Callithrix jacchus: one gene and its partner. The protein of the gene in region 1 interacts with the protein of each later gene in a pairwise test. Links are inferred from orthologs where the notes say so. Each region holds a gene or a part of one and is shown on either strand. Other genes may lie near its edges.

The links.
Region 2: the proteins of CDH1 (region 1) and CBLL1 interact in a two-hybrid assay, tested with the Homo sapiens proteins (2 studies listed by BioGRID, with this or other methods). The link is inferred for Callithrix jacchus from reciprocal best matches to the Homo sapiens genes CDH1 and CBLL1.

What each region holds. Positions count from the first base shown.
Region 1 is NC_133521.1:26,279,392-26,283,751, reverse strand, and holds the start of CDH1 (cadherin-1), read right to left. Parts: upstream 3,004-4,360; 5' UTR 2,880-3,003; coding exon 2,826-2,879; intron 2,029-2,825; coding exon 1,914-2,028; intron 1-1,913.
Region 2 is NC_133512.1:78,216,276-78,220,090, reverse strand, and holds part of CBLL1 (E3 ubiquitin-protein ligase Hakai), read right to left. Parts: intron 1,374-3,815; coding exon 338-1,373; 3' UTR 1-337. UniProt on the Homo sapiens protein: E3 ubiquitin-protein ligase that mediates ubiquitination of several tyrosine-phosphorylated Src substrates, including CDH1, CTTN and DOK1. Targets CDH1 for endocytosis and degradation.

The DNA of each region.
Region 1 (4,360 bases):
AACTAAAATCATGAGAGAGGAGAAAGTAGTTTGATATAAAAGTAAGCACCTGGGATTCAGTGAAACCAGAAGAGAAACTAGCCCCTTTCCTTGTTCCCTGGACAACAGTCAAGCGGAACAAAGCAAACTCTAGATTATCACAACGATAAGGCCTAGAAGTACATTGGATGTTTGTATGCATTTTTATCCTGAGTCAGAACTTCCATGCCTTTTAAAAAATATCATTATTCCTGGCTGGCCACGGTGGCTCGTGCCTATAATCCCAGCACTTTGGGAGGTAGAGGCAGGTGGATTACCTGAGGTCAGGAGTTCGAGACCAGTCTGGCCAACATGATGAAACCCCGTCTGTACTAAAAATACAAAAATTAGCTGGGTGCAGTGGCAGGTGCCTGTAATCCCAGCTGTTCAGGAGGCTGAGGCAGGAGAATCGCTTGAACCCAGGAGGCAGAGGTTGCAGTGAGCAGACATCATGCCACTGTACTCCAGGCTGGGCAACAACAGTGAAACTTCGTCTTAAAAAAAAAAAAAAAAAAAATATATATATATATATATATATATATATATATATATATACATACATACATATATGACAAAAAAACATTCTTCCTTGGGAGAAATAGGATCTGTATCAAGAAGTTTCAGTCCAGGCACAGTGTCTCAGGTCTGCAATCCCAGCACTCTGGAAAGCTGAGACAGAAGGATCTCTTGAGCCTAAGAGTTCCACACCAGCCTGGGCAACATGAGGAGATTCCTGTCTCTAAAAGAAATTTTATTTTATGAGATGGAGTCTTGCTCTGTCACCCAGGCTGGAGTGCAGTGGTCCCATCTCAGCTCACTGCAACCTCCGCCTCCTGGGTTCAAGCAATTCTCCTGCCTCAGCCTCCCGAATAGCTGGGATTACAGGTACATGCCACCGTGTCCAGCTAATTTTTGTATTTTTTTAGTAGAGACAGGGTTCACCATGTTGGCCAGGCTAGTCTGGAACTCCTAACCTCATTGACTCTGCCCACTTGACTCCTGACTCTGCCTGCCTTGGCCCCCCAAAGTGCTGGGATTACAAGCGTGAGCCACCATGCCAACCCTAAAAAAATGTTTTAAATTGGCTGGGCGCTGTGGCTTACACCTGTAATCCTAGCACTTTGGGAGGCTGAGGTGGGTGGATCACCTGAGGTCAGGAGTTCAAGACCAGCCTGGCTGTCATGGTGAAACTCCATCTTAAAAATAATAATAATAATAATAATAAATTAGCCAGGCATGGTGGCACATGCCTGTAATACCAGCTACTAGGGAGGCTGAGGTGGGAAAGATCACTTGAGCCCAGAGGATGGAGGCTGCAGTAAGCTATATGATTGCACCACTGCACTCCAGCCTGGGCAACAGAGCAAGACCCTGTCTTTAAAAAAGAAAGCTTTAATCTGTATAAACAAAAGCTCCAGCCCAGTAACCAGGAGAGGGTTGCTATTCAGTCATTCCAGAGATGGTGCTTAATGGAGCGTGGTAGTCAGATCCCAGTTCAGATACCTGCTTTGTCACCCTCTGAGCCTCGGTTTGCTCATCTGTAAAATGGGAATATTCCCGCCGGGCCTTCACACCCAGCAGGTTTTTGCAGTCTGAAATGAGACACTATCTCTACAGTGCCTCAGGGCAATAAGAGAAACACGAAGGCTTCTAGTAAATGCCCTCAACCTCTGCTTCTTTATTACATAGTTAACAACCAGGCAGGGCTACCCTCTCCACCACAGTGCTCAGTCATAAACATTTGGATCCCCAAATCTGTGTAAATTCCAAAGGGGTGTCGGTTGAGCCAAGAAGGGAGCTTGCCCATTCCAACCCAGGGGCGTGGGAGTGCAGTTTCTCGGCCCCTTTCCAACCCCACCCCACTCCGCCCATGGACACCGGCGGCGCGCCCTCACCTCTGCCCAGGACGCGGCCTCTCTCCAGGTGCCGCCGAGGCACCGTGAATGTGTAGCTCTCGGAATCAAAGCCGGGGTGGCAGGACTCCGGCTCTTGGCAGACCCTATACGAGACCTGGGGTGGGGGGAAAGGTAGATGGAACTGGGTGACTCGGAGGGTCCCCTCCGGCTCACACCGAAACCAACAGCGCCGCGCCCCTCCCTCGCTTCTGGCGCCGGGATTTGGGGAGGACCCCCGCCTCCAGCCCCCGGCGGGCAGCGACGTCACCCTCCCCTACCCCGAAACCCGCGGCGGCCAAGCCCCCAGGAACTCTCGAAGTGGGGGGCGCCGGGTCACTCCCGCTAGACCTAGCCCACCTTTCCTTCCGGTCTCTTTTCTCATTTTACTGGAGATGTCTTCATTCTTCTCAACCCCACTTTCCTTAGACCGCGAACGCGCTAGTCCTCAGAGCAAGAGGCGCTCCCACCTCCTCCGACTCCACTTTCTTACCCCTTGGACCCCCACTCCTATTTACAACCTTTCTTCGCATGGCAGGTGCCTTTTTTTCTACGGATGCCCCTCTCCCTCCCTCGGGGATCGTCCCTACCTCTCCTGCCTCCCCCTCGACTTGCACCGGGGCTCCCCTTCTCCACACTCCGCCTTCCACCCCGCTCCACGCCCCCACCGCCCGCCCGAGCCCACCCCGCGGAGCCCGCGGCCAGGCGTCAAAGCAGCGCTCGCCCCTCACCACCTCCCCACTCCCATCACTGCGGGGTCCGGAGCACGCGAGGCTTCAGGCCGCTAAGCTCCTCGGGACCCGAACTTTCTTGGAAGAAGGGAAGCAGCGACGACGGGAGAAGAAGGGGCGCGGGGCTGGGGCGCAGAGCGTGCAGCCAGAACGCGTCCCTCGCAAGGCCGGGGGCTTGAGGTACCTGCAGCAGCAGCAGCAGAAGCAGCGCGGAGTGGCTGCGGCTCAAAGGGCCCATGGTCGGCCGGGGACGCCGAGCAAGGGCGGGGGCCGGGTGCGGTCGGGTCGGGCCGGTCTGGGCCGGGCTGGAGTCTGAACGGACTTTCGCGAGCTCACAGGTGCTTTGAGGCTCCGACGACACTGAGAGGGGCGGCGCGGCGGCCGCCAGGTGAGCCTCGGAGGCACCGCCTCCGGCTCCGCTGATTGGCTGAGGGTGCACCTGCCGGCCGCGGCCAATCAGCAGCACGGAACCCTCCGCCGCGGGAATGACGGCCCGCCCGCGGTCCCGCCCCTCGGCCTCCGGCAGACCGGTGACCCACCAGTCTGGAGTTGCTAGGGTCTAGATGGGTTATGGGATCGATCCACTGGGTTCGAATCCCAGCCCCGCCGGTGCTCACTAAGACATGGGATCAGAAAGGTCTTCTACACTTGACTGAATTCTTTTTGTTTGTTTTGGAAATGGGGTCTCGCTTTTTCACCCAGGCTGGAGTACAATGGGGCGATCACAGCTCTCTGCAGCCTCGAACTCCTGGGCTCAACCAATCCTCTTGCCTCAGACTCACTAGTGGCTGGGACTGCAGGTGCACACCACCATGCCAGACTACTTTTTTTTTTTGTCTTTTTGTAGGGAGATGAATCTGGGCAGATAGGGGAAGTAGGGGCGCTGTATCTCCCTGTATTGCCTAGCCTGATCTTGAACTTCTGGACTGAAGCGATCCTCCTGCCTTGGCCTGACAAAGTGCTGGGATTACAGGTGTGAGCCATGAGCCACTGAGCGAGCAGCTTTTTTTTTTTTTTTTTTTTTTTTTTTTTGAGAAGGAGTCTGGTTCCATCTTGCCCAGGCTGGGGTACAATGGCACGATCTCGGCTCACTGCAACCTCCACCTGCCAGGTTCAAGCGATTCTCCTGTCTCAGTCTCTCAAGTGGCTGGGACTACAGGTGTGTGCCACCACACTGGCTAACTGTATTTTTACTACAGACGAGTCTTCATTATGTTAGCCAGGCTGGTCTGGAACTCCTAACCTCAGGTGATCCACCCTCCTCAGCCTCCCGAAGTGCTGGGATTATAGGTGTAAGCCACTGCACCAGTTCTCGAACAGCCTAATTAAAAAAATAATAATAATAATACTTCTAGAGATGGGATCTCACTATATTGCCCAGGCTGGTCTCAAATTCCTAACCTCAGGTGATCTTCCTGCTTCAGCCCCTTTATTGAGTTCTTATTTTTTAATCTAGTCTTCTTTAACTGTAGAGCTCCATGGGTTAGTGAGTCAGCAAAGTAATTCCCTAGGTCAGGACCACCTCCTAAAGCCTGTTTCTCCACCCTCCTAATGGGAATAATGATCGGAAATGTCTCCCTATGAGGCTCCCATACAATTAAAACAATCAATGTTTCTTGAGCCATAAATGCTCTGTACAGATGTGAGGGGCAAAAATAGTAACAATAGGTGCTGGGCATTAAAGATTATTGTGCCAGCCTCTGTGCTAAGCATTTGACA
Region 2 (3,815 bases), on another chromosome or scaffold:
AATGGGTTTAACAAGACAATACTTTTGAAGTAAAACAAAAAATTTTTTCAATTTTTTTTACAAATGGTCACCTCTAGGTCAATTTACTAAACTAGGGGAACAAAGATGTTAAAATATAGCTGTGCTCAACTGAGCCACTTATCTGTACTACAGTATGGTACTTGAAATCAATCCTAAGGTCAAGATTCAAAATCATTTTAAGAAACAAGACCCTATGTGTTTTATACTACCTCCGTAAGAGGTACTTTTCCTTCCCCAAACAGTCAAAGCTTAATTAAAAGATTGACTATACATAAGTTGTTTTTCCTCCTCATATCTTCAGTTCAAAATACTATCATCATTGGTAATACGGTCTATATCTCGTCTGATCTGGATGATGTGGTCCAGGAAGTGGGGTTTGAGAAGGCGGGCCCTGCAATCGTGGAGGAGGAGGTGGCCCTCTTGGTGCAGGCCATATACCAGGACTCATTCCCCCTGGTTGTGTAAATGGAGGGCTCAGAGTTCCTTGATCTTCAGTGAACTGGGGTAATGAGTTAGGATTATAATGGTGAGGAGGGGGTGCAGTTACAGGTGGACCACCATGTTGAGGTGGGGGAGGTCCTGGAGGAGGATGATTCATATAAGGTGGCATCTGGGCAATAATATGTCCAGGGGGAGGGGTTATTGGTGGTGGAGCAGAGGTCATTGGTGGAGGTGGAGCTTGGCTATATACCAAGTGAGGAGTACCTGCAGCCTGGGGAGGATGTGGCATTGGATGGCTTATTGGTGGTGGAGGAGGTGGGGGTGGTGCATAATGTTGCTGTGGAGGCATAATATGATGAGGGTGAGATACCACTGGTTGACCCTGATATTCAGGATGATGGTGAGCAGGTGCTGGGGCAGGAGGTGGTGGTTCTCTAGCACCTGAATTTGAGTCATCCTGAATAGGGACAGTTATTAAATTGCTGTGTTTTCTTGTTGAAATACGAAAGGTTTCCTGACTGACCGATCGAGGTGGAGGTGGAGCCATGGACAATTCTGCTGGAGGAGCACGAATATCCTCATGTGGCTGATTATAGTGCTCATGTGGCACATGTTGCAAAGGAGGTGGTGGCATCATGATGTGCTGCTTTGGCGGAATATGGCTCATATGGTGCTTGTCTGGTGGCATTATAAAACGATCAGGGATTTCGGTTGGTGGTGGGGCAATAGGAGGATGAACATTTTCAAGTGAAGCACGGGTAACAGGTTTTCCAGCTCTCATATGGCGATGGTTGATATGAGCCTGTAAGTCTCTCTGAGACAAATATGTTCTCTTGCACCCTTGAACAATGCTACACATGAAGAGAGAACCTCGTGTACACTGCTCAATTCGCTGCACAGGATCACTACAGCTAAATTAGAAGGAAAAAAATGTGATTTACTAAAAGAGAATATAAAAATTATGTAATTTTCAAAAGTACGCCTGTTTTCAAAATTTGACTGTTACACAAAACATAGCAAAAGTCCACAATTAGAAGTTATAGTTATTCTACATGAACATTTAATCTTCCCTACTTTATTGTCTATTAGCCATTAAGCATAGGCATTACTGTCAACTTCAGAACTCCTAATTTTAAACAGTATATTTGAAGAAGAGACCTCACTTGGCTGGGCACAGTGGCTCATGCCTATAATCCCAGCACTTTGGGAGGCCGAGGCGGGTGGATCACGAGGTCAAGAGATCAAGACCATCCTGGTCAACATGGTGAAACCCCGTCTCTACTAAAAATACAAAAATTAGCTGGGCATGGTGGTGCATGCCTGTAGTCCCAGCTGCTCGGGAGGCTGAGGCAGCAGAGTTGCTTGAACCCAGGAGGCAGAGATTGCAGTGAGCCAAGATCGTGCCATTGCACTCCAGCCTGGGTAACAAGAGTGAAACTCTGTCTCAAAACAAAAAACAAAAAAAAACAAAGAAGAGACCTCACTCTTCCCAAGGCCTAGAATTTATCCAATTTTCTCAAACAATTTTATGTTTTGCATCTATTTGCAAAAAACCCAGGAAGAAAAAAAAAACCAAAGTATTGATTACTTACAACAATCGTGAAATTCAAACTTGTATAGTATTATTGAGTGTGGTGTTTGTTGAGCAAATAACACTAAGTGGAAAACAATAAGTAGAAGATACTGCAAAGGACTACAAATAACTTCAGCCTCATCATTAGGGGTTCTTAACATTAAACATGAACAATTCCAATCCAAGCCTTGACTATTAAGTCCCTTAAAGAAAGGGTTTTTCTGAATTGTCAGACAAATTTACACTTTCCTACCTTTCTGATTCGTGAGCACTAAATTTAACTTAACGTTTTCTTAATAACTCAAGGTCAAAATTATAACTATTTTTCATTTATCATATTTAATCCATACTTGCTGTTACAGCTTTCTTGACACAGTGGGGAAAGACAACTGAAATAGGAATCTGAAGATCTCGCTCAGTAATTTGAGGTTACTGAACCATTTCTGAGTTTGTTTCATATGTACAATGAGGTTAAAATATCTACTCCACAATGTTTTTATATCTATTTCATATTACTTAAAATATTCTAATATCAAATTAAATTGACAGTATTTAATCCCCAGTTAAGCACTATAAGCAACTATCATTGAATATGTCTGTCAGGTCATTTGACACTATACTAAATGGCTCTACACTCTTGATTTTGAGTTGTGTCTATTTTTCCATCCTTACTACAAGGCTGGCACTCCTTACTAATGTTATTATGCTTCTCTTTAGTGGCCACCTGGCACACTTGTTTTGTGCTTTTAGTTCAGTGTAAACTCAGAACTATCTCCACCTTAACAAGAGGTGAGGCACTTTCTCTTGGGTGGTGTTTAAAAACAATAATATATACTGTTTAACTCTGATTGCCATTTCTTCACTTCCTGATCTGGGTCTGTTAATCCAGATAGGCTTCTGTCCTAAGGATCTTCTACTAAGGACCTTCTGTCCTAATAAGGACCACATAAGTGAGGTGTGGCATTTAGTAGCTTGTTACATTTAGTCCATTAGTAAGGTTAGTATATTAGTATATTCAGTACATTAGTTACATTTAGTACCTTGAGAACTAATTTCCTTTTAAACAATAGGTACCTTTTAATTTTCTTTCAATACTTATACAAAAGAGGAAACCTTTAAAAGTCTTCTAGAGCTGGGCGCGGTGGCTCACGCCTGTAATCCCAGCACTTTGGGAGGCCGACGCGGGTGGATCACAAGGTCAAGAGATCGAGACCATCCTGGTCAACATGGTGAAACCTCGTCTCTACTAAAAATACAAAAAATTAGCTGGGCATGGTGGCGTGTGCCTGTAATCCCAGCTATTCAGGAGGCTGAGGCAGGAGAATTGCCTGAACCCAGGAGGCAGAGGTTGCGGTGAGCCAAGATCATGCCATTGCACTCCAGCCTGGGTAACAAGAGTGAAACTCCGTCTCAAAAAAAAAAAAAAAAAAAAGTCTTCTATGTAATGTTTTATACCACATCTGAAATCCTTTATTCCAATGAAGCAATCAAATTTACTATGTAACTTAAAATGAATGTATACCGTGTTGAAAACTAGGCATTAGAGAAAACACCCAAAAAACAAGTGATATATACTTCTAATGTCTTAACTCTTCTGAATTATAATCCTATAAACAAAATTTTAAAAAACTCATTGTACAAATTTTATAATCTATTACTGTAAAAAGCTAGAAACACACCAAGACAATTAGTTGTTATTGAGCTGTCTAAATCACCCCTCTCTCTCCTGGTGATGTCCATTTTTCTATACCATAAAAGGAAATCGTTGCTGACAAGTGTC